Linked DNA regions of Solanum lycopersicum. The protein of the gene in region 5 binds, or shares a complex with, the protein of the main gene of each other region. Links are inferred from orthologs where the notes say so. Each region holds a gene or a part of one and is shown on either strand. Other genes may lie near its edges. The genes, in order: WPP domain-interacting protein 1, myosin-15, RAN GTPase-activating protein 2, RAN GTPase-activating protein 1 and WPP domain-interacting tail-anchored protein 2.

Evidence for each region.
Region 1: WPP domain-interacting tail-anchored protein 2 (region 5) and WPP domain-interacting protein 1 share a complex: the UniProt entries of both Arabidopsis thaliana proteins name them as parts of the ran complex. The link is inferred for Solanum lycopersicum from reciprocal best matches to the Arabidopsis thaliana genes WIT2 and WIP1.
Region 2: WPP domain-interacting tail-anchored protein 2 (region 5) and myosin-15 share a complex: the UniProt entries of both Arabidopsis thaliana proteins name them as parts of the LINC complex. The link is inferred for Solanum lycopersicum from reciprocal best matches to the Arabidopsis thaliana genes WIT2 and XI-I.
Region 3: WPP domain-interacting tail-anchored protein 2 (region 5) and RAN GTPase-activating protein 2 share a complex: the UniProt entries of both Arabidopsis thaliana proteins name them as parts of the ran complex. The link is inferred for Solanum lycopersicum from reciprocal best matches to the Arabidopsis thaliana genes WIT2 and RANGAP2.
Region 4: WPP domain-interacting tail-anchored protein 2 (region 5) and RAN GTPase-activating protein 1 share a complex: the UniProt entries of both Arabidopsis thaliana proteins name them as parts of the ran complex. The link is inferred for Solanum lycopersicum from reciprocal best matches to the Arabidopsis thaliana genes WIT2 and RANGAP1.

Annotation. Positions count from the first base shown.
Region 1 is NC_090809.1:845,539-851,767, reverse strand, and holds the start of WPP domain-interacting protein 1, read right to left. Parts: upstream 4,226-6,229; 5' UTR 3,881-4,225; intron 3,334-3,880; 5' UTR 3,254-3,333; coding exon 2,233-3,253; intron 511-2,232; coding exon 1-510. UniProt on the Arabidopsis thaliana protein: Mediates and enhances the nuclear envelope docking of RANGAP proteins mediated by WIT1 and WIT2 in the undifferentiated cells of root tips.
Region 2 is NC_090807.1:50,256,391-50,261,927, reverse strand, and holds part of myosin-15, read left to right. Parts: intron 1-857; coding exon 858-1,063; intron 1,064-1,247; coding exon 1,248-1,367; intron 1,368-2,526; coding exon 2,527-2,625; intron 2,626-2,747; coding exon 2,748-2,969; intron 2,970-4,222; coding exon 4,223-4,362; intron 4,363-4,603; coding exon 4,604-4,715; intron 4,716-4,818; coding exon 4,819-4,869; intron 4,870-4,960; coding exon 4,961-5,050; intron 5,051-5,394; coding exon 5,395-5,537. UniProt on the Arabidopsis thaliana protein: Myosin heavy chain that is required for the cell cycle-regulated transport of various organelles and proteins for their segregation.
Region 3 is NC_090800.1:74,924,720-74,931,038, reverse strand, and holds RAN GTPase-activating protein 2, read right to left. Parts: upstream 3,998-6,319; 5' UTR 3,903-3,997; exon of another isoform or gene 3,854-3,902; intron 2,981-3,853; 5' UTR 2,970-2,980; coding exon 1,317-2,969; 3' UTR 1,051-1,316; downstream 1-1,050. Other genes in the region: probable ATP-dependent DNA helicase CHR12, read left to right, coding at 1-353. UniProt on the Arabidopsis thaliana protein: GTPase activator for the nuclear Ras-related regulatory protein Ran, converting it to the putatively inactive GDP-bound state.
Region 4 is NC_090808.1:59,909,894-59,915,995, forward strand, and holds the start of RAN GTPase-activating protein 1, read right to left. Parts: upstream 3,953-6,102; 5' UTR 3,668-3,952; intron 1-3,667. UniProt on the Arabidopsis thaliana protein: GTPase activator for the nuclear Ras-related regulatory protein Ran, converting it to the putatively inactive GDP-bound state. Plays a role in spatial signaling during cell division.
Region 5 is NC_090804.1:5,112,337-5,118,365, forward strand, and holds the start of WPP domain-interacting tail-anchored protein 2, read right to left. Parts: upstream 4,257-6,029; 5' UTR 3,766-4,256; exon of another isoform or gene 1,996-3,765; intron 1,632-1,995; 5' UTR 1,608-1,631; coding exon 1,067-1,607; intron 969-1,066; coding exon 1-968. UniProt on the Arabidopsis thaliana protein: Together with WIT1, required for the nuclear envelope docking of RANGAP proteins in root tips. Plays a role in nuclear shape determination.

The DNA.
Region 1 (6,229 bases), on a different chromosome or scaffold from region 5:
CCATCTGTGCTTGTTCGGTAGCTAATATTTTTTGTTCTTCCATGAGAGTAACTTGATCAACTGCTGCAGCTCTCCACTTTTGGATGGTTCTTGATATTACTAAATACTCAAGTTCAGCTTCAATCTTCTGCCTAAAGAGGCCCTCAAGCTCTTTTTCAATGTCCCCACTACTCTGGTGCAAGTCATTTCCTGTTCTCTTTTCTTCCTTCTCCGTGTTACTACTTAAGATGGCTTCCAGTTCAGCAACTCTGGCTTCCTTTAACTTAATCAAGTTTGCTTCATCATTAAGCTTGTGTTGCAATAGTATAACATTCTGCTTTAAGCTGACTACTTCAGACTCCAACGAGTTAAATGAATGTTGCACACCGTTACTGGGTTGTGACTGTTCAGATGTGTTTGGTCCAGGAAAATCTGTGTCACCTGAACTGAAGTCTGAAATAATACCAACATCCCGAACAGAATGGTCAATGACATCATCTTCTATTCTAATTTCTTTCCATTTCCGAATTTCTGCAGAGAAAAGCATGCAAACTAATTAATATCAGATAATAGGTATTAGATGGAGTAACTGATTTCTTCGTTATATTATGGGTTGAAGGGTAAATATAGATTGATGAAGTCAAAGGCACAAAGAAGGTCCAGAAGATACATGTAAACAAAGTGACTGAAGTGCTAAAGAAACAATAACTAAAAGAGGTCTAAAGAGCTCAAGAACAGCATGAGATAATCATCCCAATCTGCATATTTTCCTTGCAACAAAAGCAGGGCAAGCTTAACGACAAAAAAAAAGAAGCAAGAAATTGGTCCTTATGCTTTGCACTGCAGCCATTCATAGAAAGAGAGACCAATAACCTTTCACCAATATAAAAGCCCTTGGGTCCATTAGAAAGTCAGAACAATATTTACTAGAATCAGCTTACCATTTGCTATTGAGAGCTTTAGGTCGGATTTAAGTTTAATCTGTTTGCTTCAAGGAGCATAGGATACTCTTATCATATTGCAGAAAGAGATCAGGTGTAGCCATTCTTTCAATTTATTTAACTCTTCCTCGTTACAGTATTTGATATAGTATTATGAGACTTCTGAGACAATTTTTTCATTTTCCCTCGTGATTTTACTTCTCCATCTTCTTGACTGTTCTGCTGCTTTGCAATTAATACAAACACCAAAAACAGCCTAATCCTCGAGATACTCTTTCTATTCCGGAGTCCCTACTTTTATACCAATCACCACAGGAATATTTGTAGAAACAGAAAACTGTAACAGGAAAATATTCCGAGGCATTTAAAAATCCTTGTATTTTTATCAGGACCTTTTCTTACCCAAATCACTTCCTCAACTTCGGCTGAATAAAACCTGTAGTTTTAAGTCCCAAGTAAACCACTACACCTTCTAACTCCCCATATTCCAAAGAAACATGTTGGCTATTCATGCCTTAAATTGGACAGAATTATCTCTCCTCCAAAACCTTTTTTGTGGTAAAAAATAGAACAGAACATGTTAATTACAGCCAATGAAAATGCACGTCCTGGTGCTTAAACTACATATCTTGAGCAAGCCAACAATATCAAAATAATAAATAGCAACACATTTATCCACCTTCAATGTTGCAATATCAGAATTTATTATAACAAATAGATATCAACTTTTCAAAGAGTATAACCAATATTTCATCATAAAAAAATAAAAAAAAGCATAACCAACATCTGTTGTACTAGCTACGAACAAAGTTAAAGGATTATTTTAGGCAAACTGAAGAACTTAATGGTATTGTTTCAATAACCTTAACTCTTTTGACATAATCTTGATTCTTGAAGCAATAAATGCATCATAGCGAAAACCATTAGAACACACTCAAATCCTTCTATTATGTACATAACCATTAAGATTACCAATACTACATCAGATCGAATTTCATGACTTGCTGTCACCTCTTCCTGAAGCAATGCCAGTCCTAAATTCTTGGGCATGACAACAAAATGTTCAAATTTGGGGAAAGCAGGGACGCGTCCGGGTCGCGGGGTGTGGGGACGTCGCACATAACTATGCAATGACTGCAATCATTCTAATACTTCTTTGAACTTAGAATAAACTTCCACCCAAAAAAGAAATTTGCTTCATACAATATGCTGAAGACTCCAAGCAGAAAATAGAAGGCATAATCAAAACCAAAAAAAGAACATACTAGAATAGGCTCAAAATCGTATACTTCAAAGAAAACTGAAGATCTACCTCTTTCAAGATTTTCCTGAGCAGCTTGAAGGGTGAAGATAGACTCCAGCAGAGGATCATGATCTGTGGACAACCCCTGATACCCACTCCTCTCTTCTTTAACCTCCCAGGCGGATTCAACGCCTAGATCTTCTTGAGTTTCACACTCCTTATCATTTCTTCTGTCTAGAGCAGTCTGAAGTTCCTCGCTGAATGGTCTTTCTCTGGTGAGAACTTCATCACTGAATTGTCCATCATTATTCACTGAGCTTCCACCTTTCATACCATTACTTGTTGCATGATTATTACTCTGCATAGGTAGAAAATTGGAGCTTTGTGAGTCGGATTCCATGCTTGAATGAGAGTTTTCCTTCTCTATTTTGACCCTTTCTCCTCTAGGCTTTTTACTAATTTCAGCCTGACCCTTTCCCCGATGAGATTGCTGAGCTGAAGTACCCATCTTCCCACCCAAAGTACCTGGCCCATTCTTAACAGGCATATAACCATGGAAAACAGGTGCTTCGTACCTTGACTTTGGAGCACTGGCTGCAGTCGAAGACCTACTACTCCGATCCTCACTATTTTCCGAGTCTGTTCCACCCAAAAATATAGGATGAATCGCCAACCCAGAATTACCAATAAGACCAAAGCCATCAACAAGAACATCAGGGCTACCCAATAGTGCATTTACTGAAGAAACAGATCCATCACTATTTCGGATCGATCCAGTGGACAAATGTACAGGTTTTGCTGAGTTTGCAGCAGAGCTCGACAAACCACGCTTCAACAACTTAGCATTGTCTGTGTTACTGTCCTCATCCTTGTGTGCTTCCCGCCTGATCCTCCTCCATTTCTTCAAGCCAAATCCTTTAGCTGTTGGTGAGGATTTCACTGAGGGAGGTGAACCCACTGGGTCCGCAGTTTCAATACCTTTACCTTTAGACTCATCTAAAATAGGGGTATTGTGATTAATAACACTGGAACCATTGCTTTCAACCTTGTTCCGATCTGGATCATCCAAATCTTGAAGTGTGGTGGTCATTGCTTCATGTCTTCCACCAACTAAAGCTCCAAACTTTGACCAATCAAGTTCGATTACAGCATAAAGTTCAGGGTTTTAGCCTTTTAGACAACATAAAGAAGAAGAATAAGTCAGATCGAGATCGAGAATTTACTTACATAACTTGGATAAATGAATTGGATTATCCGATCATTACACTAACAGCAACAAACTAATTGGATTTAGCTAAACAAATCATCACTATCGATTATACTCAATCTGGAACCAAAGATGAATCCAGTAAATTGATAATGAACTGAATAGACAAATAAAAGTTGGGAAAGCGACAGAACACTACATAAACAGAAAGTCCAATATAAGCAGATTAAACTGCACTCATTATTAAATGAAAAAAACAGAAATGAAGAACTCAGATCAAGATCGAGAACAAACAAACAACCATCATTCCAGTTCATGGAAACTGAAAATCTATCAAAATTCACTATAAATTGAATTGCATAGCTTGAGTAAAAATTCCAGCTAAAAACACTAACAACAACAGCAAAATAAGTGGATTCAGCTAAATGAATGGATTATGCTCAATTTGGAACTAAAAATGAATTCATAAATTTGTGAAGCTATATAAAAAGAATACGAAATCGTTCATACCTTCTCCTCCATGATCGATGGATTTGCAGAAATGAGATGGAATTGAGGAATATGGAAACCCTAGATTTGATGTGGATTCAGAAATTTATAGCCACAAAATTGCTACAACTGATAATTTGGGGAAGACGACTTGAAAAGGAGTGGGGTAGATCGGGTCGGGTTGGGAGTTGTTAATAATACGTAATTGATTATTATTATTTTCAATAATTTTATTAATTATTATATGAACTATAGGAAGAAGTTGACAACTTCAATTTTTTTTTCTAATTTACTATTGACATTACGAAAGATTAAGAATTTGGGGGATTACTTTATGTTTGCGATGGAATCACTACACAATAACTCGATATTTATGATGCACGATTTGAAATTTCAATAAGCAATAAACTCGCTTATTATTATCTTCCACTTAAATTTCTAACTTGATGTTTAAAATTCATAACGTGTATAACTCATAGTCACAATATATTCTATATCTAAGTGCAATATCACTAAGAAAGGTCGAATATTAGTAGTGCACGATTTGAAATCTCGATAGAAGATTATACTTTTTAACTTAAATACCAAATGTGACCGTTTCATCAACAACATTGTTTTGTTTGGTACAAATGTGATAATTTCTATAACATGCTATTACACAACGGTAACCAAAATTAAAACGTTAGCTTAACTTATTATATCAATCAAATCATTAAAAATATATATATAAAAAGAAATCATATTAGTTTTGTAAAAATTTAACACAACCAATTTGATTTAATTGGTTAAAAACTATTCTTTGTACTTATTTTTTATAATGAATAAAGTTGTGTTAGTCCACGTGAAATATTTCCTTTAGATTAATGAACTAAGTTAAGAATTATGCAAGTATCGAATATAAATTTTGTAATATCTTTTCATTTGTACATAACTTTATGTGAAAAAAGTTTACATATATGTATTGATGGGAGGTAAAGATTAGTAGATATCTTATTAAAATATAATCGAGATACGTATAAACTAACTCAGACGTCACGATTATAATAAAAGGATGTGGATAGAACATGGGAGAGCCAAGAAGATAAAGAGACCAAAGTGGGGCAAAGTAGTGTGCAGATGATGTGGAAACCCACATGATGCAGTGTTTTTTAGGGGAAAAAAATGGAAAATGACACTGCAGAAATAACTAAGTGGAGGTCAAATCTGTGTGTTCAATTATTGATGGAATCTTCTTTGTGTGAGAGGAAATAATTAGGCACTTTGCCAGAGTATTTGACAGAGAAACATGTTGCATTTAATTGTTACCTTCCCATATATTTGTATTTTCAAAAACGATCTCTCTATCTTCACGAGTAAGATCTATATTTATTTTTGAAAAACGATCTCTCTATCTTCACGAATAAGATCTACATTTATTTTCAAAAAAACAAAAGAGTTCTCTTCGAATAAATGGATTGTTCTATCTTTTTGTTTCCTTCAATAAGGAACACTTCACCTCATGGCAATTTCCAACACGAATCCAAATTAATTGATTCTAAAGCTAATATTGTACCTCGAGTGACAACAAAAGAGGTACCCACTCTAAAAGAATAATACATAAATATGACTTTTAAATTGGCTTCAACGAATAAGTATGCCTTTCCACTTTGAGTGTGCACAAATAGTCACTTACACTTGTATAAAATTGAACAAGTAGACACACGTGTACTACAGGACGTAATACATGTAGGATGCCACGTAAAGTTAAAGATTATAGTTTTAAGTGTCTACTTATGCACAACTAAAGTTAAAGGTCATAGTTGTCAACTAACGTCAAATTAAGGTCATAGTTGTCCACTCTAAATGGTGAAAAATGGAAAAGTTCGAGGGCAATACAGGAACTGACGACATCCCCCATGTTTGAGTTCTTACAAGCATTTGGACAAACTTTGTCCCCATTAGTTTAGTAGATCAAAGTTATCTACAGAGAGATAAATCCATTCAACCACTTGAAAATGTGAAGCTTAGTCCACTGAACACACGAGGGTAGATTTAAAGAGCAGCCTCGAACAAGGCCATACAGTGCACATAATCTCGACTAACACTTCCATGAGTGACTGAGTCCGACCATCATCAAAAGACCAAACCAGCCAATGTAAAGACGGCTTCAGCACTGTTTTACAGTATCTCTTGCTTTAGAGACTCCTTTACATGCAGAAGTCATAGCAGCTATGGAACTCTGTAGTAGCATCGGCATTTCAATACAAGAGGACCATAGTTGGCCAGAAATGAAAGCATTTCAACAGGGGCCAAATGTAGTGTATAACTTATGGGTTCATCAGAACCAAGTAACTACTAAATAAGTACAAGGAATAGATCTTGACTTCTATA
Region 2 (5,537 bases), on a different chromosome or scaffold from region 5:
TTAAAAGAAAAAAAATACTAATATCTTTATTGGAAACTTGTATATATACTACAAATAAAAAATATTTACCATTTATAGCAATAACATTTTTTTTTCACTTTATCACTTTTGATACATATATAATACACTTTTAATTCATATTACAAAAAGTCAATTTATTATTCACATATAATACAAGTTTTATTGATGGATAATGCATTTATCACACATTTTAGTACACTTATAATACAATGTGTTATGTGTCAACTTTTTATAATATATTTATTTTAGAAATAGTTATAATACATATATATTGCATACTTGATTCGCTTTTAATACATATTGCAGATTTAACATAGTATTGCTATAAATGATAATAAATATAAAGTATCGCTAAAATCAGTAATTATTTATTAAAACACATTCATTCAAGTAATTTTTCCTATCTTTATCAGGAAAATAATATTTTTGACCCATTAAGTAACAATAGAGGCATTTGTGGACCAAACTATTAACTCGTCGGGCATTATTGTTCAATTTCACATAGTTTAAGGGCAGTTTTGACCCTTTTCCGTAAAAAAGTAAAATAGATTGTCATGATTTTTCTTCAGATCGTGTTTTTATTGTAATTGTTGGTCTACTATATATTTTTTTCTAGTAATTGGCTCTGAGAAAACTATACATCCTACTTATCATATCTGAAAAAAAAGATAAATCTCCAGACTGGTCCCAACAGTGTGTGATTTGACGTGTGTATTTTTTATTTGCTTATAGTTGTATGTTTTATGTGTTTTAATGCTAATGTCAGGTAGCTTTTCCCGTCTTTTATTTGGAATAAGCACTAAATGAGGCTTGAAAACATTTCCTTCTTTTTGCAGGTTATATTGCTCGTAATATATATACTGCACTGCGGGAAGCATCGTCTGTGATTGTAATCCAAAAATACGTGCGACAGTGGATCATGAGGAATGCTTATCAGCAACTTTATGCTTCTGCACTGCTAATACAGTCTTGCACTCGTGGTTTTGCTGCTCGACAGAAGTTCTTACATAGGAAGGAGAATAAGGCTGCTACTATCATTCAGGTGAGTATATGCCTTTGCCACCTGATATATCTTATACATTCATAAATTTGTGCTTTAAAATTCAAACTAGCACTATTTAGAGGGATACAGTTGTGTATTTGTCCCCTCACCAAAAGAAAAGGAAAAAAACAAAAATAGAAATTGTTCTAAGATAATGCTTGATATTCTTTCTGCTACTGCATAGGCACATTGGAGAATGTGCAAGATTCGCTCTGCTTTTCGTCATCGTCATTCCAATATTATTGCAATTCAATGTCTTTGGAGGCGAAAAATGGCAACAAGGGAGTTCAGAAGGCTCAAAAAGGTGAGAAGGATAGTACTTCTGTTTTTAATGTCTAGCTTCGTGTGTACCAACAAATCTCTGCTTGAAATATCTCCATTTGATGGAGATATCTTCATTTACAAGGACAAAAATGTGATAAAAGTGGCTAGTAAGCATGTAAAATGTTGTAAGCTGGATGGTCAATGTTTTCATGGAATGAATTAACGTTTTAGTTGATTGCATGCTGCTTTTGGTCAAAAGAAGCTTATGATTGCATCTGCTGAGGATGCAATGTTGTAACACGAAGACATGACAATGTTAGCCTGCCACTACTGGTGACCATGTCAATTGGTCAGTCTGTTTTTATTCAAAAGAAGCTTATTATTGCATCTGCTGAAAATGCAATGCTGTAATACGAAGAATTGACAACGATTAGCCTTCTGCTTTTAGTGATCATGCCAATTAGTCTATTAATGAAATTTAAGTCCAGAGTAATTTTACCCAACTTTGTGCTAGTATAAGGCATTAGAAAAATGCCAGAATATGTCTAGCCATAGCCTTCTAGGACACAAATTTCGAGTGATTTAGATGTTAGCTACAAAGTTCTGTGAGTAAGATGAGTGATAAACAGTTGACTTTAGCAGTCAAGTGAGAAATGATGTCATCTGTTGCCTTTTCTGTACGAGTCAGGTCATCAGACTGTTCATTTAAAAGGACTGCCATGTTAGGGTTGTTGTTTTCTTTGTCGGATCATCTTTATTTTGCTGCATTATTTTCTGCTTATAACATAAACTACATCGATGCTAAAACTATGCTTCCCATGAAAACACATATACACTTTTCCACAAGGATATTTCAATTTGCATCTTATTTTTGCTTACAGTAACTTTAGGATATTGATGCTCTTTCTTTTACTGTTGCTTGAGATTCTATATGTTTCTCTTGCCCCATCTGAAAAGAGACACAAGAACTAATGTTACAGAGATATGTAAGCAAATTCCTTTTATATACTTTAGTTGAATATAGCCAATACAGGATCTTCTCAATATTGATTCAATCCTGTGGGTTTGCTATCCTTATAGATAATAATAAAGCTGAAGTTCCAAGTTTCTGTGATGAAGTTCCATTCCACCAAGTTTCATGTAGTTCAGCTGTTATTTTTATTGAAAAGTTTGACACTTATATTTTTCCCCTTGTACAGGAAGCTAACGAAGCTGGTGCTCTCCGTCTAGCAAAAACCAAGCTTGAAAGGCAGTTGGAGGATCTTACTTGGAGGTTGCAATTAGAAAAAAAATTACGGGTACTGTTCCAGTGATTAACTTATATGTAAATGATTTATCGCTTCAGTAGTGATTTTTTTATCAAATTCACCATATTTTGCTCGCTAATGGAATGAAATATTGTTTGAACATTGTGATGCAGCTATCAAATGAGGAGGCTAAATCAGTGGAAATTTCAAAACTTAACAAGACTGTAGAATCTTTAATCCTCGAGTTAGATGCAGCGAAGCTGGCTGCAGTCAATGAGGTCAATAAGAATGCTGTGCTCCAGAGACAACTGGAATTATACATGAAGGAAAAAGCTGCTTTGGAAAGAGAAACTTTTTCCGTGACCGAGTTGAGAAATGAAAATATATTTCTGAAGGTCATATCAGTGTGATTTTCTGTATCTGTTTGCATCCACAACTCTGATTAGACTCATTTTTGAAATTGATGATTAATGCCCTTTTGTAAATTTAGTTCTAGATGTTGAGAGCATCTTTTAAGCACCCCTCTTACTTGAACTTCATAAAGCATCTTGACCTAATAGTCTCACAGTCACTCTCTAGAATGGGAAGTGTAAAGATATGACACCTAGGCGTAACTCAACCCCAAAAGCTAGCTCATGAGGGGAGGTTTGTTCAAGTCCATATAAGGAGACCAAATTCCCATCCTTTTACCCATGTGGGACTTCTTAATACTCCCCCGCACAGCCAGATCTCAACTGGATCGTGAACACTTTTAAATGGGTGCCCAATATCGGTAAACAACAAACTGGGATGGGCAAATATATGAAACCTGAGCCTAATTCAACCCCAAAAGCTATAACAATAATTACAACATAGTAGCAGCAATTTCCATGTAGGTCTAACTGATTTCAAGTATCACCAAACATATACAATTCATAATTTTTTATCCTTTCTCAACCTGAAGAATCTGAATTAAGTACAAGATACGATATTGATACAATGTTAATAATTGAACCAGTTCTAAGGTGAACAGTTTGGAGGACGAACAGAGATTTGAACTGGAATTGGGCGACCCATACCTGTACCTCCACAGCGCAATGCATGATGTGTGGACTAGGATTTAGGCACATGCCATAGGTTCGAACCTTGCAGTAGACAAAAGCTTAGCATATAAGTGGAGAATGGTGTAGTAACAGGCCAATTATCCAGCAAGTTTCAAACCATGTGACATAGGCCGTGAGGATTTCTTTGTTATCAAGAAAAAATATTTGCATTTGTTCTTTCTTCACAGTTATTTTCTCTGGGGCAGGGGTACTTGGATTTGGGTGGGTGGATGCTTTTAGGGTTTCTATGGCCACGAGTAATTTTTCTTTAATTACTAGTAGATCAGATAATCATATGTTTCCTGATTAGTTGACATTTGGCATTATTTATACACTACCTTCACTAGACCCCTCTTGTGGGATTACACCGGGTATGTTTTTGTTGATTGATTAAATAAGTTAACAAAATACTGCTTCTAGACTACTTGCCTGTTTTGGTATACTATGACTTTAAAGGTTTAAATACTTGGTTTTTCTTTAGAGCAGAAAGGATGCTCTTTAACAATTTGAAGCTTATAAGAAGGCCCAAAGACTTGACGTTGATACTTATTTTGGTGGCTTTGCAGAGTTCTTTGAGCGCCTTGGAGGAAAAGAACTCTGCATTGGAGCATGAGCTAATAAAGGGTAAAGAAGAGTCTACTGACACAATTGCCAAGTTGAGAGCAGTTGAAGAGACATGTTCACAACTCCAACAGAACTTAAAAAGGTAATTTTAGATATATCAAAGAGGAGTTGTTTGGCAATCTGATCACATAGTTAGTCTTCTGCCTCTTTTTACTGGTAAAACTTTATACATATTTTAGGAAATAAAACGATATCTGTTTAAGTTTTAGGAATGTAGATTTTCAGTCTCTATTTACATCCATTTCTTGCGGTGCTACCATATACAATTTTTTAACTGGCTGATTTCCAGTTGTTTAAAAACATGTGCATCTTCTCTATGTTAGTATGGAGGAGAAGCTCTCAAATTCAGAGGATGAAAATCTTATCCTCCGACAGAAAGCATTGAGTGCAACTCCGAGAAGCAATCGTCCAGGTTTTGCCAAGTCTTTTAGCGATGTAAGCTGTAATTTCTTAAATTGCAATGTATAATCCATGGTGGATAATTCTTCCTCGCTTCCCGTTCCTCTAGATCTAATAAACTTTTGTCCCCTTTGTGCAGAAATTCTCTGGTGCACTCGCTCTGCCCTCTGCTGATCGTAAAACTTCATTTGTATGTATCTTTTTTTTTTGCTGTGTTAGCTTAAGAACATAGTTCTATTTTTATGTTCCTTGATCTCTAACACACTTATTTTGTTTGTTAGGAATCTCCCACCCCAACAAAAATGATAGCGCCTCTTGCTCAAGGATTTTCTGATTCACGTAGAGCTAAGTTGACCAGTGAAAGGCAGCAGGTTGCTTTCCATATCCAACTAGTGATGATTGATATTCTTATTTGCTATGATTGCTTGCTTATCACTGTTGGGGAGGTGTGTGCAAAGTGTCAGAAATTAGGAACATGAGTGATGAAGGATACTAACATTGGGGTAGTAGACGAGGATTATAGAGGATGAAATCTCATTACTTTCCTTCAAGTTCTAAACAACACAAATAAAAGAATGAATTTCCCTTGTGAGGGAACAGTGATGAGTCCCCTTTTGTGTTACTTATCATCCACCCGCAACTGTAGTTTTGGTGGATAACTAGTGCAAAAGGTTTAAGTAATGGTGGCTCTAATGTATGCTGCTTTAAAATGAAGTCTCTCTTGCAGGAGAACTGTGAAATTCTTTCAAGGTGTATCAAGGAGAATTTGGGATTTAAAGATGGAAAGCCAGTTGCTGCTTGTGTCATCTATAGGTGCCTTATTCATTGGCATGCCTTTGAGTCAGAGAGGACTGCTAT
Region 3 (6,319 bases), on a different chromosome or scaffold from region 5:
TGGTTTATGCCGATACTTTAAGTGATGTACAGTGGATGAAGGCTGTGGAGAACGGAGATGATTTCTTTACGCAATCAAGTAAAGGCAGGAACAGGGACCATCAGTCAGTCTCAAATGGTGAGTTGCCTAGTGGCAATGCTGATTCTGAGAGGACTGGACATGACTTGAAGCCCGATACTGTGTCTGTGGCGAGTGAGGCAACAAGTGAAGATACCTATGGAAGAACTCCCAAAAGGTTCAAATCCGAGAGTGCAAGTTCCATGAGAAATGATTATCACGATTTGACTGGCCATAGTGTGGACGGTTTATCGTGGAAGGCCCACAGGAGGAGGAGATCAAGCTTAATATCCTGAGGTTGCCCTTGTAAAACCTAGGAATTAATTTGGCCAGTGAAGTCATTAGTGGACATAGGGGAGCATTTAAGATCTCTAACTATGGTTCTAGTCGTCTGTTTGACTCAGTGTCTTACATGTATATTAGCATCTAATACCTTTTAGGTTTTGCATTTGCTACTAGTTAACTGTGCAGTAGTGGAAAAATTGGAGATGTACCATTAGCTTTTTGCTACAATTCTTAATTATTCTAATTTGGAGTCAATGGTGGATTAAGTTTCAGTAGCTTGGCTGCCATGTCCAGCATATTTTCAAGTTGATGTTACGAGCTAGTTCACTATTTTGAAGGCTGTACTCTTGTCCAGTATTTAACAGACCCAGAATGTGGCATTGTATTGCCTATCAAATTTTACTTTAAAAATTAAACAGCCTTTCAACTTTGAACAAGAAGCAAACTCCCTCTTCTATCCTAATTAAATCTTTAAAATGCCTACTATTATCAACTTTGTTATTTACTTTTTTGAAAAATTATGACATCTTTATTTATTTATTTTGAATTCATGTAACAATTTTTTCATAAAAACACATTATCTTTTGGACGAAAAAGTGAAAAATACTAATGCATTATGGAAGTAGACCAAGGACTTCACGATGATTCCGGCACACGTATTTCGTTCACCGATAAAAAAAAACAAGTCAAATGCATCATGGAAATTTTAAAAGAAAAGAAGAAGATTAAAGTCTACATAACACAAAAGAAGGTTCAACATAAATAAAAAGTAGTTCTCTCTCGTACCCTACATAGTTCAACTAGAGACCTAACGTGACCAATTAAGGCAACAGTTCAATTCCACCAAATTTAAATTACTGATGGAACTATATGTTAGAAGCACTTGCTGGAGGAACATAATATGGCCAGCTTAGCATAAAGAAAATGGTAAAACTAAAACTGCCACATGCAGAAAAATCGTCAAGTACTGGATTCTAATTGCTATCTGGTGCGTGTGCGTCAACACTTGCCTCTTGCTTGACGTCCAGGTTTTTCAGTTTTGATTCTAGTTCATCCTCAACGTCCTCATCTCCAGATTCTTTCTCCTCGTCACCCTCGTCTTCTCCTTCCGGGTCATTATCTTCCAGGGATGCAAGCATTTCAGGAGATTTCTTGAAGATCTCTTTCAACTCGTCAACGCCTTCTTCTGAGATGAAATTCCCATTAACATTTAGTAATTTAAACTCATCTTTCTGCAGCACAGTTTGAGCCAGCACCCTAGCCCCAGCCCTCCTTAGTGCATTGCTGCTCATATCAACTTCAGTCAGATGTTTGTGTCCTTCCAATGCCTTGGCAATCTGAATTACACCTTCATCCTTGAGTTCATTCTCACCCAAGCTTAACTTGGCAAGAAGCTGCTTTGCAGCTATACAAGAAGCTATTGCTGAAGCAGCTTCAGCAGTTATATCATTACCTGCCATCTCCAAGACAGCAAGTGAAGGGGCTGAATCTTTAAGAGCGTTAGCTATTGCAATTGCTCCTTCATCCTCTAAATTAAGGTAGCTCAGGTAAATTTCCTTAAGATTTTCATGTTGGCTGAGTGCCTTGCTCAACACAAGACCAACTTCTGGACCAAACATATTGTCTCGCAAATCAAGCTTCTTCAAATGGGAGCACATCCCAAGTGCTTCGCACAAGGCACTCCCTCCTTCAGAACCTACCCTGGTAGAAGAGCACCTGAAATCTTCCAATAAAGGAGAGCGCTTCACAATTTCCGCAATCGCAACAGCCCCTTCATCACCAGTCATATTATTATGAAAATGAAGAATTTTAAGCTTCTCGGTGGAAGGAACTAGCTCGCTAACAGCATTTGCAGCTTCCTGTGAAATCCCATCATTCATCAAAAATAATTCTTCCAAGTTGGTTTGAGACTGAAGGAGCTTTCCAAATGCCCTAACTCCCTTCTCACCAAGAGCATTATCAGAGAGATTCAGAAACTTCAAGTTAGAACCTTCTAGAGCTTCTGAGAATATATTCATGACATCAAGTGCTTCAGCCTCATTTCTTCCGGCAACAAAATCTGACAAATCAACTTCCTTCAACTGATCCTTCAAGGTTGCCAAGATAGGGCCTGCAATACGTGCTGCATCTATACCAAAGCTTCTATTGCTGAAACAAATTTTGCTGTAAGAGTTTCCAGGCTCTTTTAATGGCTTTAAAAGTTCTTGAGCCTCTTCCGCTTCAATAAAAGCCCTTTTACCTTTTGAGATATCAAAAAAGGTCTCCTGAACAGTAGGAACTACCTCAGAAATCGAAATTTCCTTGTCCTCTGATTTGGGAGTCTTTTTTAGAATTTCCAGGATAAGCTTGCTACATTCCCTGGCATAAAGTTGCACAGCAGAACTTCCATCACCATCAGGCTCCTTCTCATAATGTTGATTAGCAATGGTAAAAGCTGCATCTTCAATTTCTTCAGCATTTTTGGCAGCCTCTTCCTTGGATAGACTGCGGTACTTGCGGGTGAAAATGGTTGGACTAGAAAGATTATTCGTCATTCTTTCCACCAGCATTTTTCTTGTGTTCTCACTTGGAGGCCACAGTTTAATTGAAAACGGTCTGCGCTGAGAGTTATCTGTTGTGGCATCCATTGGCAGAAAACCTAGAGTGAAAGGAATATAGTGAATCGTGTCTTTAGTTTCTATAGAAAAATAAAGTGATTATCTTTCAAGAAATATAACCACTATAAGATTAAGCTCTGGCAGTTAAAAACATAACAACCAAAAAACAAAGTACCAGGCAAGAAACAATTCGTGCACACCTACAAGAAAAACTTAACATAAAGCGAATCAAATTTCAAGAGCTCAAATTCTTCGTCATAGAAATCAGATATAATTGTTTGACAACTCAATATTTTCGCCACAAAACACCAAGCAGGTGTCTAAAAGAACGGGAAAGTTTCTACAGTCATCCATCATCAAAAACGAGATTGAATTTTCTCTCATTTTATAACCACCTTGCAATGCACCATATTCATATCCAACAATGTAAAAAAAAACTCAAAAACCAAAAATGGTACATTCCCAGGTATATTCACATTTCACACTATAACACAAAAAAACTTTCTAGGATACAAAAAAAAATACCACACATTACCAAGGAATCATATGAGCAGAACAGAGCAACATATATACAATTTACAGAGCCGCTAAAAACACCAGAAACTTGTAATACAAAACAAAAATCCTTCTTTTTCCCCTACAAACAAAGAAATTTCACGAGAAAAATAAAAACTTTATACCTAACAGTGGGGGTTTGTAGAGTGTAGTCCTCCTCCCAGTAATTGCAACCTCTACTCTACCAACCCCAAAATAATAAACATAAAAAAACTACATAAAAGCAAAAACTAAAGCACATTAAACAAGAAAAAATACTAAAATCCAGCACAGATCTGTGAAATCACATGACCAAAAAAGTTGACTCATACAGAGCATAACCGCGAAAACCCTAAAAATCAAGAGAAAAAGAAAATTACTTTTGGGGATTTTTCTAATTACCGTTGGAGTGAGTGTGTTGTAACTCACCGGCAAACAACGAGAGAGAATGTGTGAGTTCGACGCGCCGCCGGAGAGAGTGGAAGTGAAGAAAATCTCAACTGAAAATGAAGTTAGCAATGTGTGCTGTGTGTTGTGTGGGAACAGTGTTTTTATATTCGACTATCTTGTACTCGAGAGATAACCTAATGTAAAAAAAATATATATATATTTTGAATAATAACTTTTTTTCTTAGTTTAAAATAAACAAATCATTCAAAATCAAAGAATTGTTGGATTTCTTTTTCAAAATATTTTTTATTTAATGAGAATAATTATTACAAAATTAAGCTCATAACAATATAGTTATAAATTGAAAATGGCAAGACATGAAGATAAAGGAGATAATTCTTTTTCTATTACGGTGTATTTTATAAGTATGAAATATTTATATTTATAGATTCAAAAAATCACTCATAAAATAATCTATATGTATAACAGGAAAGGTGATAGTGCTTTCGCGTAAGCGCCACAAAAAATAATATTTTTTTAAAAATAAAAGTTATAAATTGTATTTGAAAAAACTCGTGTATTGATAGTTAGTCATAATTATCAATCCATCAATATATATATATATATATATATATATATAGGTGATAGCGCGCCAAAAAAATAATATTTTTTTAAAATAAAAATTATAACATTGTTTTGAAAAAAAATAAGACATGTTTATTGGTAGTTAGTCGAGGGCTTTTAATCTTTATTTTGAAAAAAATAATTGTAATTTTACTTTTTAAAAATATTATTTTTATAGTACCTACGTGTCAACGCTACAAAAAATAAAATTACAAAATTGTATTTGAAAAAAAAAAACACGTATATTATTAGTTAGTCATATGGGGTTTAATTTTTATTTTGAAAAAAATAATGGTTATCCAACTAAAAAGTTTCAAAACTTCCTACTACACTTCTATTTCTACACAAATTGAAATTTTCTAAAATTAAAGTGCTACTCTTTTAACTTTTTCGTGTTTATATTGTCGAATTTAAAAGTGAGAATATAACAAATTTTGTTCACTATATTAATTTATATCTCTTATTATTATTAGATTTTTATCTATCATAAACATAGAAAGCAATAAATTATGTTCATCATAATATTACTTTAAACAATATCATAATTTTAAGCCATTTAGGCTTTAGCAAATTTAAACTATTCACGAGATTATATGATGTTAGTGAGCAATTTAATATGTTAAATATTAATATTAAAATGCTAATAAACTAACATCTAACAAGATTAAATTAAGTTAAAATTTGCAATATAACTATAATTACACGTAATACAATAACGTCTCATTTTCATGATTTCATCTATATATTTTCTTATACAATTAAAATTTAATATGTCCAACACATACATTGAGTAAATTTAATATAACGGTTGTATTAACTATGATTATTTTTACATATGCGTCGATTTTTTGTTCTACTTTTATACAAAATTAATACAATATATAATATTTTGAATCTTCTAATTTGGAATAAAAATGTTTAAATATTATCATAATTATGAAATCAAATATTTCATATGAAGTGCTAGGTTAATAAATTATTAACATAGATTTTTTATTCAAACGACATAAAAAAAAATAAAGTACAAACTTATAAGTTTTTTGAAGTACTCATGTTTCATCAAAGATATAATAATCATAAAAAACATAGTATCCTTAAAAAAATCAATATAATATATATATATATATTCTTAAAAGCATGAACTCCTAACTTAATGTTAAATTACTATGATATTCTTAACTTAGGTTGTGAATTTTTAAAAAATTGTGATTTTTCGATAAATTGTGACTTTTTTGAAAGGAGTGCGATTTTTCAATGAGTTATGACCAGTGGCGGATTAGATAAAAAGAAAAATACACAATAAATATCATCTATAAAGTAATATTAGTGAGATACATCTAATTACATAATTGAACCTCATCAAATTAAAATAAATATACACATCATTACATTTAATTAATAAAAATAAAAATTTGATTTATCTTTTTATTAGCTTATATTTCCCTTCTACTTATTGTTTTGTAAATATATTAAGTTCAAAATCACCCTATTAAAGAAACGATGCAACAACATTAGTTTTTCTAAAAAAATATATATGTTATATATATACTACAACAATATAGAGTTGCTTATATACATTGAGTTGAAGAAGGGCAGACACAGAATTTGTGTGTATTTATTGTGTATATTAATGAAGGAGAATAATATACATGTTATTGATTTAACTTTGAATTATAAATATTCATCTGAACGTAAGCATGTACCTAATATACATAACAATGATACAATCCAGTTATATGACTATTTAGATGAAAATTGAGTTAATCAGAAACTAAAAACATATATGCATATGTAAAAATATATTTTACAAACAATAAAAGTAGATGTATATA
Region 4 (6,102 bases), on a different chromosome or scaffold from region 5:
GAAAAGAAGTTGCAATCAGAAGATCATTTCATACAACAAAGGAAGCGTAAGGAGATGCTCAACCATATATTCTGTTTAAAATTTTGCAAAAATTATTCAAGGACACTCTCTAATAAACTTTTGAGTTTTTGCAGCACTAATACTGAACATAACGGCTTCCAAGTACAAGGAAAACAATAACAAATGTGCTTGGAACTGCTAAGTTGTTCGGACTCCACTTCTGGTATTGCATCCATGTCGATACGACATGGGGTGTGGGATCCTTAATGGATTTGGTCAACCAATTTTGAATAATTTGACCAAAATTGACTGAGAAATTCAGTACAGATACCTGTGATTTCTGTAATCAAAACAAAAACTAGGATGAAATTGAAGAAAATGAAATAGCTTGTAAATAGAAATTTCTATGTCAGTCCTTTTTCCTTTTATTTTCTTTCCTTTTGGGATTCTCCTCTTGATTAGTATTTTCTCCACGGAATACCTTGACGTTTTCAACATAATGTCTCATAAAGGATCCAACATTTAGATATTTAAATTATTTTAGCTGAACCTTGCACCGGTATACAAACCCCTGGATCGTAAAATTTTGATCATGAAGGATCCGACATCTAGATCAACACCCGCGTATCAGACATCGCACCCAAGTCCGAGCAACTTAGGGTACATATGTATGTTTTCAGCATGTCAGTGACTGAGCTCAAAAGATAAGCACTTCAACAATTGTCGATGTGCTTTTATTTATTTTTCCAATTAGTGAGCATTTTCTTTCCAAAAGAAGCCCAACAAATTGTTACACTAACACTATGGTGTGGTTGCCAAGAAAGGGGCCAGATGGTTAACTTTCTTGCATTTATGAAAGTTGTCTGAAAAATGGTAAAAACCTTCCTCTATGTTAAATCCTCCAAAATGTGTAGGAAACTTGAAGGAAAATGAATCCTTCTACAGGCACATGCAAGAAAATGATTATCCAATAACTTTCTTAACATCTAAATAAGTGCAAAGATTATGCCAAAGCACCTGCGTGATCAGAATAAGATCAAATCTAATATGTCATTACTACAATCACAAATAATTCTATTCCAACCCACTTCAATAAATGATTACACATTGATAAGATATACCTAGAGGCAGTGGCGGATCAAGGATCTGAGGCAGTGGCGGATCAAGGATCTGAAGTTAGTAGGTGCTTCACTTTTTTTAACATTAAATTTTACTGTTCATTTAGTACAAGTGCAAATACTATTTAAACACAATAGTGAAAAACATTAACGCAAAAGTCATGTTTAATATTACTATCGGGAAAGAAGACTGAGTCAAATTATAATGTACTCGACGACTTTTCGCATTTTAAAATTAAAATGAGTAATAATAACATCTCTTACACTCGTGAATATCTTATGCTAAACATAGAAAATTAGACAGCTTAATAAGTATATAAAAATTACTTGTGGAGGATCAATCTCGTGACCTGCGGTACCACAGCTTCAGCACCCACTTACTAACCAACGAGTCACATCCAACAGTTATTTAACGGGTGCTTACTAATTAATTATATAGGTTGCATAGTATTTTTTATATACCTATATACATTTCACGTAGGGGTCCATGGGTGCTCGAGCACCGAAGCTCTATGTGGATCCGCACCTGCCTAGTGGTACTTTCCACAAGAAAGTACTATGGGAAACAAGACTAACAATTAACCACCAAGCATTATCAGCAACAAGCTTCGCTATTTTCCACACAGCACTGTTACTTTTGAGTTTCAAAGAAAAAGGAAGATTTCTTCCATAGTCTATCATTTGAATAATGTTTCTTACAAGTATATATCCTCAGGATAATAAACATGAGTTGTCCCACAACAAGCAAGTAGCAACAAACAGTTCTGAGTTCTGACATTTGACGTCAGTTAATATTAAATTGTTCCAATTTCTTGTCTTTTCTCAGCACCTTCCAAGCTTTTCAGCTGAGGTGCTGCAATGCACATAAAATAAGTACAGATGGCATCTTGTTTGCAGTCACTTGATCAGCAGATTTATTTTATCTCACTGCACTAGCAGAATGACCAATAAATGCAAGACTTCTAAAATGATATTAGTCATATGATAACAGTAAGGATCGTGCATATTGACATTCAGGTCATGGTCATAAGTTGCAAAACACAGACACAAGAGTTAAAATTACATACAAGCATCACACTGGTGCAATAAGGTAATATCTTCCTCAAACGAAACATCTCCCCTGTGCACCAAATACAATGTATTTAACTAAATGATAAATCATATATTTGATCCAAAAAAGGAAGTTGACTTCAGACTTTTAACCGTTATATCTTGTCAGTTGAGCAAATCTAAGCACTTACCATTAGAAGGCTAAGAGCTCGATTAATCTATTGAAGTATTATTGTTTCCCTTTTGTAGAGGGCCAAAAGGCTCACAAAAGGTGGTGAACTATTCCATTTTTGCTGCCATCTCATCTCCAAATAAAAAGAAAATGCACTTTTATGATAAGCTACTATCCATGATTCAAGATGACTATTCTTTTACTTCCCAAAGTAATTTCTAAAGTTTGTGAGCAAATATCACACAAAAACTCATTATGCTTGAGGCACCCAAGGGTGTGTCCCAGTGGTCAAGGAAAGGGGTTGAGAACCATGAGATCATGAGTTCATTTTCCATCAGCAGCAAAAACACTAGGTGATTTCTTCTTATTTGTTTAAGCCTTGGTTGACAGAGTTAACTGGTAATTGTGTTGGTGAAGGTAGAAGGTACCACATGGAATTAGTCAAGGTTCGAGCAAGTTTTTGAGTTCATATCTCAAAGTTTTTGAGTTTATAGCATTTGGTTTTTCCCTTGCATCAAGCAATAATTCAAATAGAATTCAAGAGAAAATAAGAAATAGATTTATTGGCATTTTGTGTTGATTAATGGGAAAATTTTCAGATAGCCACAGGACTAAAGACTCCATCTTTTGCTTCTCCCTCACTCCCTTCCTCTTGAAGACGAAGATTGATCGATCACGGAATCAAAACAAATTTTGTACTATTTCATTTGTCCGGCGTTGTTAGATAGAAGGAGCCATCAAGAACTAAGCATGCCTCTTTCAAATCACTGGGACTTCTCAAGTTTTCTACAGAGTACTACAGAAAAACAAAAACAATAATACTTGCCACTGAAGGTCTTAAGGAATAAGTGTAACCAGCAGAGCCATGAATAAGAGTTCACAAATCCCACTATATCACATTTCTTCCATTTTAGTACAAACAAAATCCAACCAAACACCTTCATCCTTAAGGCCATCATTAAAAAATGCATTTCCCTTCAATGTCCATTTCTAAATATACTAAACAAAACTAAAAACTGGCACACATAGAGCAGAACAGATACAAATGATTCACATTGTCTACATCAACTATTCTAAGATTTGAGGCATAACTCATTGAACTCCATCAAAATCTACACTGAAACATAAACTATATTCTAATTCAAATACTTAAAAGTGAGTCTCAGTATTCGTTAAAACGAAGCAGAAAATATCATTCAAATGATGAAAAAAAAGAAGGAAATGCAACCATAATTGAAGGAATAGACAAATGGAACAATACAAAACAAAATCAGACCTAAAATCTTCATGAATGAATGTAAACAGAGAGGAGTAAGAGGAAACTTACTGGTTGGAAGAAACCCTAGAAGTGGCGAAGTGGGATAAGAGAGAGATCCAAAAAACCCTAGAAAAGAGAGGGGAGAGAGACGTGGAGTTGGAGTAAAGATAAAGAGATAATTAAAACTAATTCAAATACAAGTTATGTGCAATCATGATAGTCGTGTGCTGCTGTCGTGAATTTTTGAGGAATTCGATTTGGAGGGAAAATGCCCCTTTTTTTAAGCCACAAAAAGGGCCAAAATTATTCTTTTAACTATTTGAAATAGGAGAATTAACTTGTGTGCACTATAGTGTAAAGTTTTTTATACTACACTCGTTAAATCTCATTTCTATTCTATTTCTTTTTAATATTTAAAAATATTCATCTGTTTAATTGTTTTCTCGCTCTCAAACTCTATAACAATCGTTCAACTTGGGATTTTTCTATTCATGGTTCTCTTTCCCCCTGAGCCGTTGAATTCCTCATCTAGAGTTTTATGATCTCTTTTATTAATCTGAAAATATCCACAAAAGGTCATCATTACCTATTGATATTTTGGGGAATTATTTTAAATTGCAGTAGATGTTTGTATTTGAATCTATTATTGATTCTTATGATGGTTTAATCTAATATTGTTATCTCCGATATCTTAGCAACCTCTTGGTATGTTCGATTAAGATTTTTTATTACTTTGTATAATCATAATTCACTAAAATGTTTTTTAAAATTAATTTTTTGATAGAAGATCATCTTATTAGTGTAGGCTAATGCCCGATTAGTACATGAAACAACAAATGACTTGGCCCAAAAAGTAGTACCCGGGTCCAAAAGGAAATAATATGTAGAGTTTCCAAAACTCTTCCATCAACTATCCTTTCACTTGACTTTCTTAAAACCCTACCCCATTTCCATCCTTTCTCCGCCGTTTCTAAGTTGTCTCCTTCATGGTTGACCAAGTAATCTTTGTGATTTTTGACGTGGTATCATTCCATCTAGCTCCTTGAATGCCTTTGAAGTTCTACCGCCCTCCTTGCTTACATGTAAGATTTTCGTCCTTATATCCTTCTTTTTCTTTCGTGTATGAGCTACTGATTCTCGTTCCCTTTCAGATCGAGGTGTAGTCCCAAGGGATCATAGGTGGGCTTCGTTTTTGCTCATATTTGACTCCGATTGTGCGCTTGATGTTCCGTTTATTCCTGGTGTCATTAACTCCCAACTCAAATAATTTGACCAACAAGCCCCCTTTATATTAAAGTTTCTTTTATAGCTAGAAACTCTATTTGTAGCTTTGTTTTGCTCAATTTTACTTCCCTCTAAGAAGCATACTTCATCTTGAAATATTTGTGCTTTATGCTTCCTCTTGTGTCTGATGTTTTTTAAATATGCATTCTGTTTACGTGACTATCTCCGTGATGTTTATTTATGTTATTTCCTTTATGTTCCTGCACTGCTTCCATTGAATGTTCATTTTGTGTGTTTTCACCTTCTAGTTGGTGTATGCGCCTTTTCTATATTTAGATATTTCCTTGTAATGCTTGGTAGCTCTTGAAAAAATTGATAGTTTTTTGTCTCCTGCGATTCTACTACTTCATTAACCAAAGAGTCTATCGCAAAATTTCCTTCTCTAAAAGTATGTGTGATTAGGCATTTATGGTTGAATGACCTTCCTGATTTCCTCAGTTCTTTCTACTATGTCCCACGATACTTTCCACTCTCGTTCCACCAATTTTTACGCATAGTGAGCCTGAATCTATTATAGCCTCTCTTAAAACTTCCTCTTGACAATAGTGAACTGCTTCTAGCAAAGTAAGAGATTTTGTTTCCATGTATGTTTCCATGTTGTTTGCTTCGCCTATTCTTTTCACCCTTGTATATAACGGGTCTCCTTCCGCATCTCTCACCACAAAACCTATTGATTTTGCACCGAGATTTTCTTTTGTCTCCTCATCTGTTTTGCATTTTACTCTATTTCTTTCAGGTTTCCTTCGAATTACATAGTGATCATATAGTTTAGGCTTGTACTCTTTTAAATTTGTGACAATCTGGGGCCATGTGTCATTCCTAAGATGTATCCAGGGGTATAATACTTTGATGAGCTTCCTCACTGCTTCTTGTACTTTCATCACTATTTCATTGTATGTGGTAGTTCATTCATGCTTCAAGCTATTCCTCCTATTCCATATTGTCCACAAGGTGATTGTTGGCATTGCATTCAACACCACTTTCAATTTGGCATTCTGATTTTGCTTCCACCAGGTGATTATTAGGTGTTGTAATTGCTTGTTCTCCATATTTATACCTACAAAATTAGCAAATTGCTTCTAAAGCATGATGTTTATGGAGGGTTGTTAGAAAAACATGTGTCATTACTTCCTCCTTCTTATCTGAATAACATCAACATCAAGACGCTATCTGAATTTTCATCATCTTCATATTATCATCAGTCGAAATTCTTTTTTTCC
Region 5 (6,029 bases):
GGTAAGTTCTAAATTAGTTTCCGACAAAATAAGGCACTGTTCCTCGACATGTTCAGTCTTGCTTTCGGCTTTTAAGACCTTTTGTTTTAGTTCATCGATTAAAGTTTCCATATCCCAAATGGCAGTATACAACATATTCTGTTGTTCTTGACCTGCTTCGGATGATGTCTTAGCATTTTGTAGCTGAAGTTCTAATTCCCTGACCTTCTTCTCGAGAATGCTGACCTTTTTAGCATTACTTTCATTACTACTCTTGAGAAAATCCAACTCTTCGTGCAGTTCCAAGTTTGTCTCCGTCAAATGTGCAACCTTTTCCTCTGCATTGTCAGCCTTATGTTCTGCAATATCGATGTCTTCTTTCTGAGATTCTACAATACATTCCAGTTCTTTAAGACGCTCTTCGCTTACTTCATTCAGTTCATTTGCTTTCAGCAACTTAGACTCAGATTCTTTCAACTTATCTTCTGAAAGTTTTAGCTTGTCCCTTAACGAGGATACTTCAGTATTTTCAACAGCAAGATGTTTGTTGTTGCTATTAAGGTTTTGTATGGTAATATCTTTAGCATTTATCTGTCCTATGCAATTATCAATCTTCAATGTGAAATCTTTCTCTCGTTGAAGTGAACCGTTCAAATTGAAGTTAACAACCTGTAATCGGCTCACCATCTCTCTGGAAATTCCCATAAGTACCTCTGCTGCATTTTCCGACTCTAAAAACCTACCCCATATAACCTCTGCACCCTCTTCCATGCACAGAGCTACTTGCTCGGTTAACCGGAGCTTCAACTTTAGATCATCTTCATTTTGTTTATGTAAAGTCAACTTCTTCTCAAGATCCAGCTCTCTTTCGAGAGATTTTTCCAACATTCTTAATATACGTCTTTGCTCAACTGTCTGTGCGTGTGGCTTCAATTCTCTTGCTGAAACATTATTAATATCTGATAAATCCAAACTCATCCTATGTCTCCCTGAAAATACATGCACCAGAAAAAGATGTAATGTCTTTGATATGTTAGTAACGAGAGGGAAAAACACGTTCTTGAACCTAATGAGTTTCACAACTTACATTCATTTTGGTCGAAAGCTAGCGAGGTCATCTGCAATTTGGCAAGCTGCATCTTCATTTCTAGGACACGTTCCTTCGATATTCTCAATAACTCTTCAGTGTCATGAAATTTGTTCTCCATTATCACATGCAGCTCACTAAATTCTCTGCGCGTAGGTATCTTTTGCCTTGCTTCAATGACTAAGTCTTGAAGAGTGCCTAAGAAATTGTCCAGTTGTCTTATCTCAGAGTTCAAAATGATAGATAAGTGATCCAACGACAGAACTTTCTCAATCGATTCAGGAGAAATCTCATCATTCTCGAAAGATATTGCTTCAACTTCATTTTCGCAGGCCAAGACACGCATCAAGAGATTGTCAAGATTCGTCAACTTCTCATCAGAATACGCAAGGTCCAAATCTACTCTACTCAATATTTCCATGGAACTCCTCATCTCTTCCATGTCCTTGGCTTCACTTGAGTGATTTTCAATCAACAATGTTTCCATTACTTGTGGATTGACAATATCAGAAGTACGGACAGCCAATTCTTCAATTGCCATTGATCAGCACTTCTGATAAGGCAGCTGCAAATGGGAAGGAAAGCATAACGAGATGAGAATGCAGGTCCAAATTGATCAGACCAAATGAATTAAGTAGGCACATAAAAGGCGTAAGAGTGCTTGAAGGGATATATAGCAAACACAAGGTGTTAATAAGCTTATATTCTCGATTTGACATCTCTCTATGTCTTGTACTTTAATGTGTGCCAAGGCAATTAGTCAGCTGTACATGGTTTTGACAAAGTTAACAGAAACCGCATTTCTTTTGTAATAGTATAAGTCAATGTTCGATAGGAAGACGATAACGCCCAAAAGAGAAATGGAAACAAAACATGATGAAAGGTAATTGAGACATTAAAAACCCCATATAGATCATCCTCATGCTTACACCGATGAGCAGATGCTTGAAAATTTTACTCCACGAGCCCCTTATACAAACATAACATGTTCTGAGACCACAAGTTTGTCTGGAGTAAAGGTATGCTGTTGTATTGTCCAACCCCATAACATCTTTTATCCAACCAACGGAACTAATCAGTTGGTTATTTACAGATACTCAATCCGAATTCTTCACTCATGCTTCAACCATACCTTCATGGCTTTGTGAGGACTTTCCTTGACGCAATCTTCTCACTTTCTCCTCAAAAATAAACCAAACACTGGTGCAACTGAATATTGAACGAGAACAGTGTGCAACAATCTGTTGCCTCATTGTTCTTTGAGAAAATATTGAAATAGCTAGACAACCACGAGGAAGATTCAGATATCAAACTTAGGACTAGAGCAATACGAGGCCTAATTAGCTAAAATGATAATAAGGATTATTGAAAAAGTTCATCTACCTACAGTACATTAGAGTTGTATCCAAACATTTATAGACATCAAATTGCTTATATTTGTTGAGAATTCGACCACACAACTTCTCTTCTATCTACCTACTAAACAAGAAATCACCCAAACTGTCAACACAAGCTATTTCAGGTCATTGTACCCAGAGCGTAGGCAGGATTATCACTAACAGAATTCAAATTAAAAAGAAGTAGACACATTAAGAAACCAAGTGGATTCAACATACACTATATCCACATACAAATAATCTTGATCTTATCTATACAATGTAATCTAACGGTTAAGGGGGCCTAGCTCCCCTCATAGCTTCACTTAGTGACTTCAACTATGTATGTCACACGAAACCTAATGTTTCAGAACATGGAGCTTCTAAGTACTTATGGCCTCATATTAATAGTGGCAGCACAATTTAACTTCCTCCAAACTCAAACACAGAAATTGTTGTGTCCATCTCTTGTTTTAGTGAAAATTGAAGGATTTTCCAGAAGAAATTAAAGTACAAACACTAAACAAGAAACTTTTTTTTACAGCTCCCACCCTTTGTTTTGCTCCTTGTAATTCAAACTCAAAACCTCAGGGTTACAGGTATAGGAATTCTTATAGTCCGAGCAACCCTGCTTGTTCTTAAAGAAGAAACCTTTATACCAACCAAAACACTATAATTACACAAAAGTAAGTAGAATTTCAAACACTTGTCTAAATTATGAAACAAGTAGAACATAACCACCACCAACTATTGCAAATAGCCTTAAAGAACCAATAAAGCTTCAATCTTTACAAGAAACACTAAACAAGAAAACTTTTTTCTTACAGCTACCACCCTTTTTTTGCTCTTTTGACTCGAACTCACAACCTCAGGGTTAGAGGTAAAGGAATGTTTGTCATCCTAGCAACCCTGCTTATCCTTTAACAAAAAGCCTTCTTACCAACCAAAACACTACAATTACACAAAAAAGTAAGTAAAATTCTCAAACACTTCTCCAAACTATGATATAAACCAAATATAACTATCACCAACTATTGCAAATTGCCTTAAAAGAACCAATAAAGCATCAATTTTTCAAGAAAAAAGAACAACACTTAACTTCCTCCATACTAAAAACATGTGTCCATCTCTTGTTTTAGTCAAAGCTCAAAGTTTTTCCACAAGAAATTATGTACAAACACTGAACAAGAAACCTTTATTTCAACTAAAACACTATAATTACACAATTCTCAAACACATAACTATAAATTCCCTTAAAGAACCAATAAAGCTTCAATCTTTACAACAAGAAGATCAAACAAAACAAGATTTTTCACTACATACCTTAATAACATGAAAGATAAAAAATGGCTCTTATTCTCATAACAATAACTTGAATAGAGTGGCAAAGAATATTTGTGATCTACAAAAGGGTCAACCTTTGAGATATTTTTAGGCTTATGGGGTTGGTGTCTAAAATGTTACTAACGTGGGTCCCACAACAGTCAGACCAACCAATCACATTACCCCACGTCAGCAACCATACCAAAAAAGAGACAAAATCTAATGACCTTCATTAATTATTGGTCACAAGAATGAAACCATAAACATTAATGTTCATCCTCTGCAATTTGAGATTTCTTGATTTTGGAGAAGTTTTTTTTTTTTTTTTTTTTGAAAATGGAAAGGAAAAAAAAAGGAGAAATTTGAGTGGAAAATGAAATAATTGTTGGAGGAGCGCACGTTGGGTAAGTGGTGGTGGGGGTATAGTTGTTTTGATACCAAAAACTTAATAATTGAGGATTAGACTATTGGGGTCCAAACAATCATAACATATAAAATAATAATGCTAAAATTAAGGCTAAGATGATTTTTTTTTTGTCTCATTTCGATATTTGATATTTTCTATGAGGTTTGACTCAATTAGACTCGAGATAAAAAGTAAAAAATTATTTTTCAATATTCAGAGTATCATTTCAAAATTTCTAATTAAGAAAAAAAAGAGCATTTACTATTCTAATATTGACTAGAACCTTTGATGGTGACTAAAATGTTGTCAATTACTTCTAATTATAGGACTCATTTAGTTTGCAATTAAGAGCATAATAAATGGAATTATTTAGTACCTATACTTTTTTTCTTTATAGATATTTGATTCATTGCATTCAAACTTACCTAAATTGTTATTTCTAATTTTTTTAGAAAAATAGGAGGTGGACTAATTTAGAAATTTACTTTTTTTTTATCAAAAAATTGGGATTTTATTCATACTGAAAAAATAAGGGAAAATTACATGGGATGGCAAACATCCCTATGTAATAAGTTAATAAGGGTATAGTTTAATTTATTTACGGTCAGTAAATATAGTTTTATTTTTTTTGCTATAATTAATGGGACTACTATCTATTTGTATACAGAATAAAAATAGTCATCTAAAGATTTTTATATAATTTTATTTAAAATTAAATTTATCTCTCCTATTTTCATTCCATATATTTTCCTAAAATTACTCTTCTCTTTTAATTTGAATTTCCATTGAAAAAATTTTGACCTTCTATCTCTGATGTTCTTCCGCTTTTCGTAGGTAACCGCCAAATTCATGGCTTTCAATATTTTTTTCTTGATTCCTTCTATAACAATTGTATATGTAGTATGATTGTTAGTTTTTTCATATTTTTTTTTAAAAAATCTTTATTACTTATCAGATTACAAGTCTTTCAAAATCAGAATAGTTAATTTCTGTCCATGTATGAGAATTACGAGAGGTATGTCATTGCATGTCAATGTTGTTGATAATCCACCCTCGTTTCAATTGGGTTAACTCAGGATTCTAGGTTAATGTAGGGTATATGGCAAAACATAAACAAGTTTAAGTTGAACAATCTATTGAAGAATTGAGATCAATGAAAAAAAATGACCCAATGGCAATTCATAAAGTCATCAACAACGCGAAATCTAGCGGCATTAAAATTGTTGAAGGTGGAAGTAAGAGAAAAGTCATAAACATTGATTCAGAAGAGATTGAATTTGTCTCATCAGAACTGGACAAATCTGAAGAATATCGAGAACATCAGGTAGTGTAATTTATATACAAATTACAAAGTTATGTATATAGTGATTTGTATATTAAGTTAATATATACAAGGTATTGTGAAACAGTTCGTAATTGTATATTCTATTAGTTGAATATCAATTACTAAAGTTAGGTATATAGCGGGTTGTATATTAAGGTAACATATACAAAGTCTTATGAGGCAATAGCTATTTGTATACAATTATTTAATTTTGTATTAAGAAATTTGTTAAAATCACTCTATAATATTATAATACATTATACAAATTCGTCGATATATACAAAAAATTATCAACATAATAAAATATTGTATATATAAACGTTACACCCTCAAATATAGAAACATATTTCAAGCTTACTATATATACAATTAACAAATGAATATTATATACAATCAGTTTGATCATTAATATTTAAAAAAAAAACATGAAATCACAGATGCACATATATAACTATAATATATATACCAAAATTATTGTACATTATACAAACTCCTAGAATTATACAAAAAAAATAAAATAGGAACATAATAAAA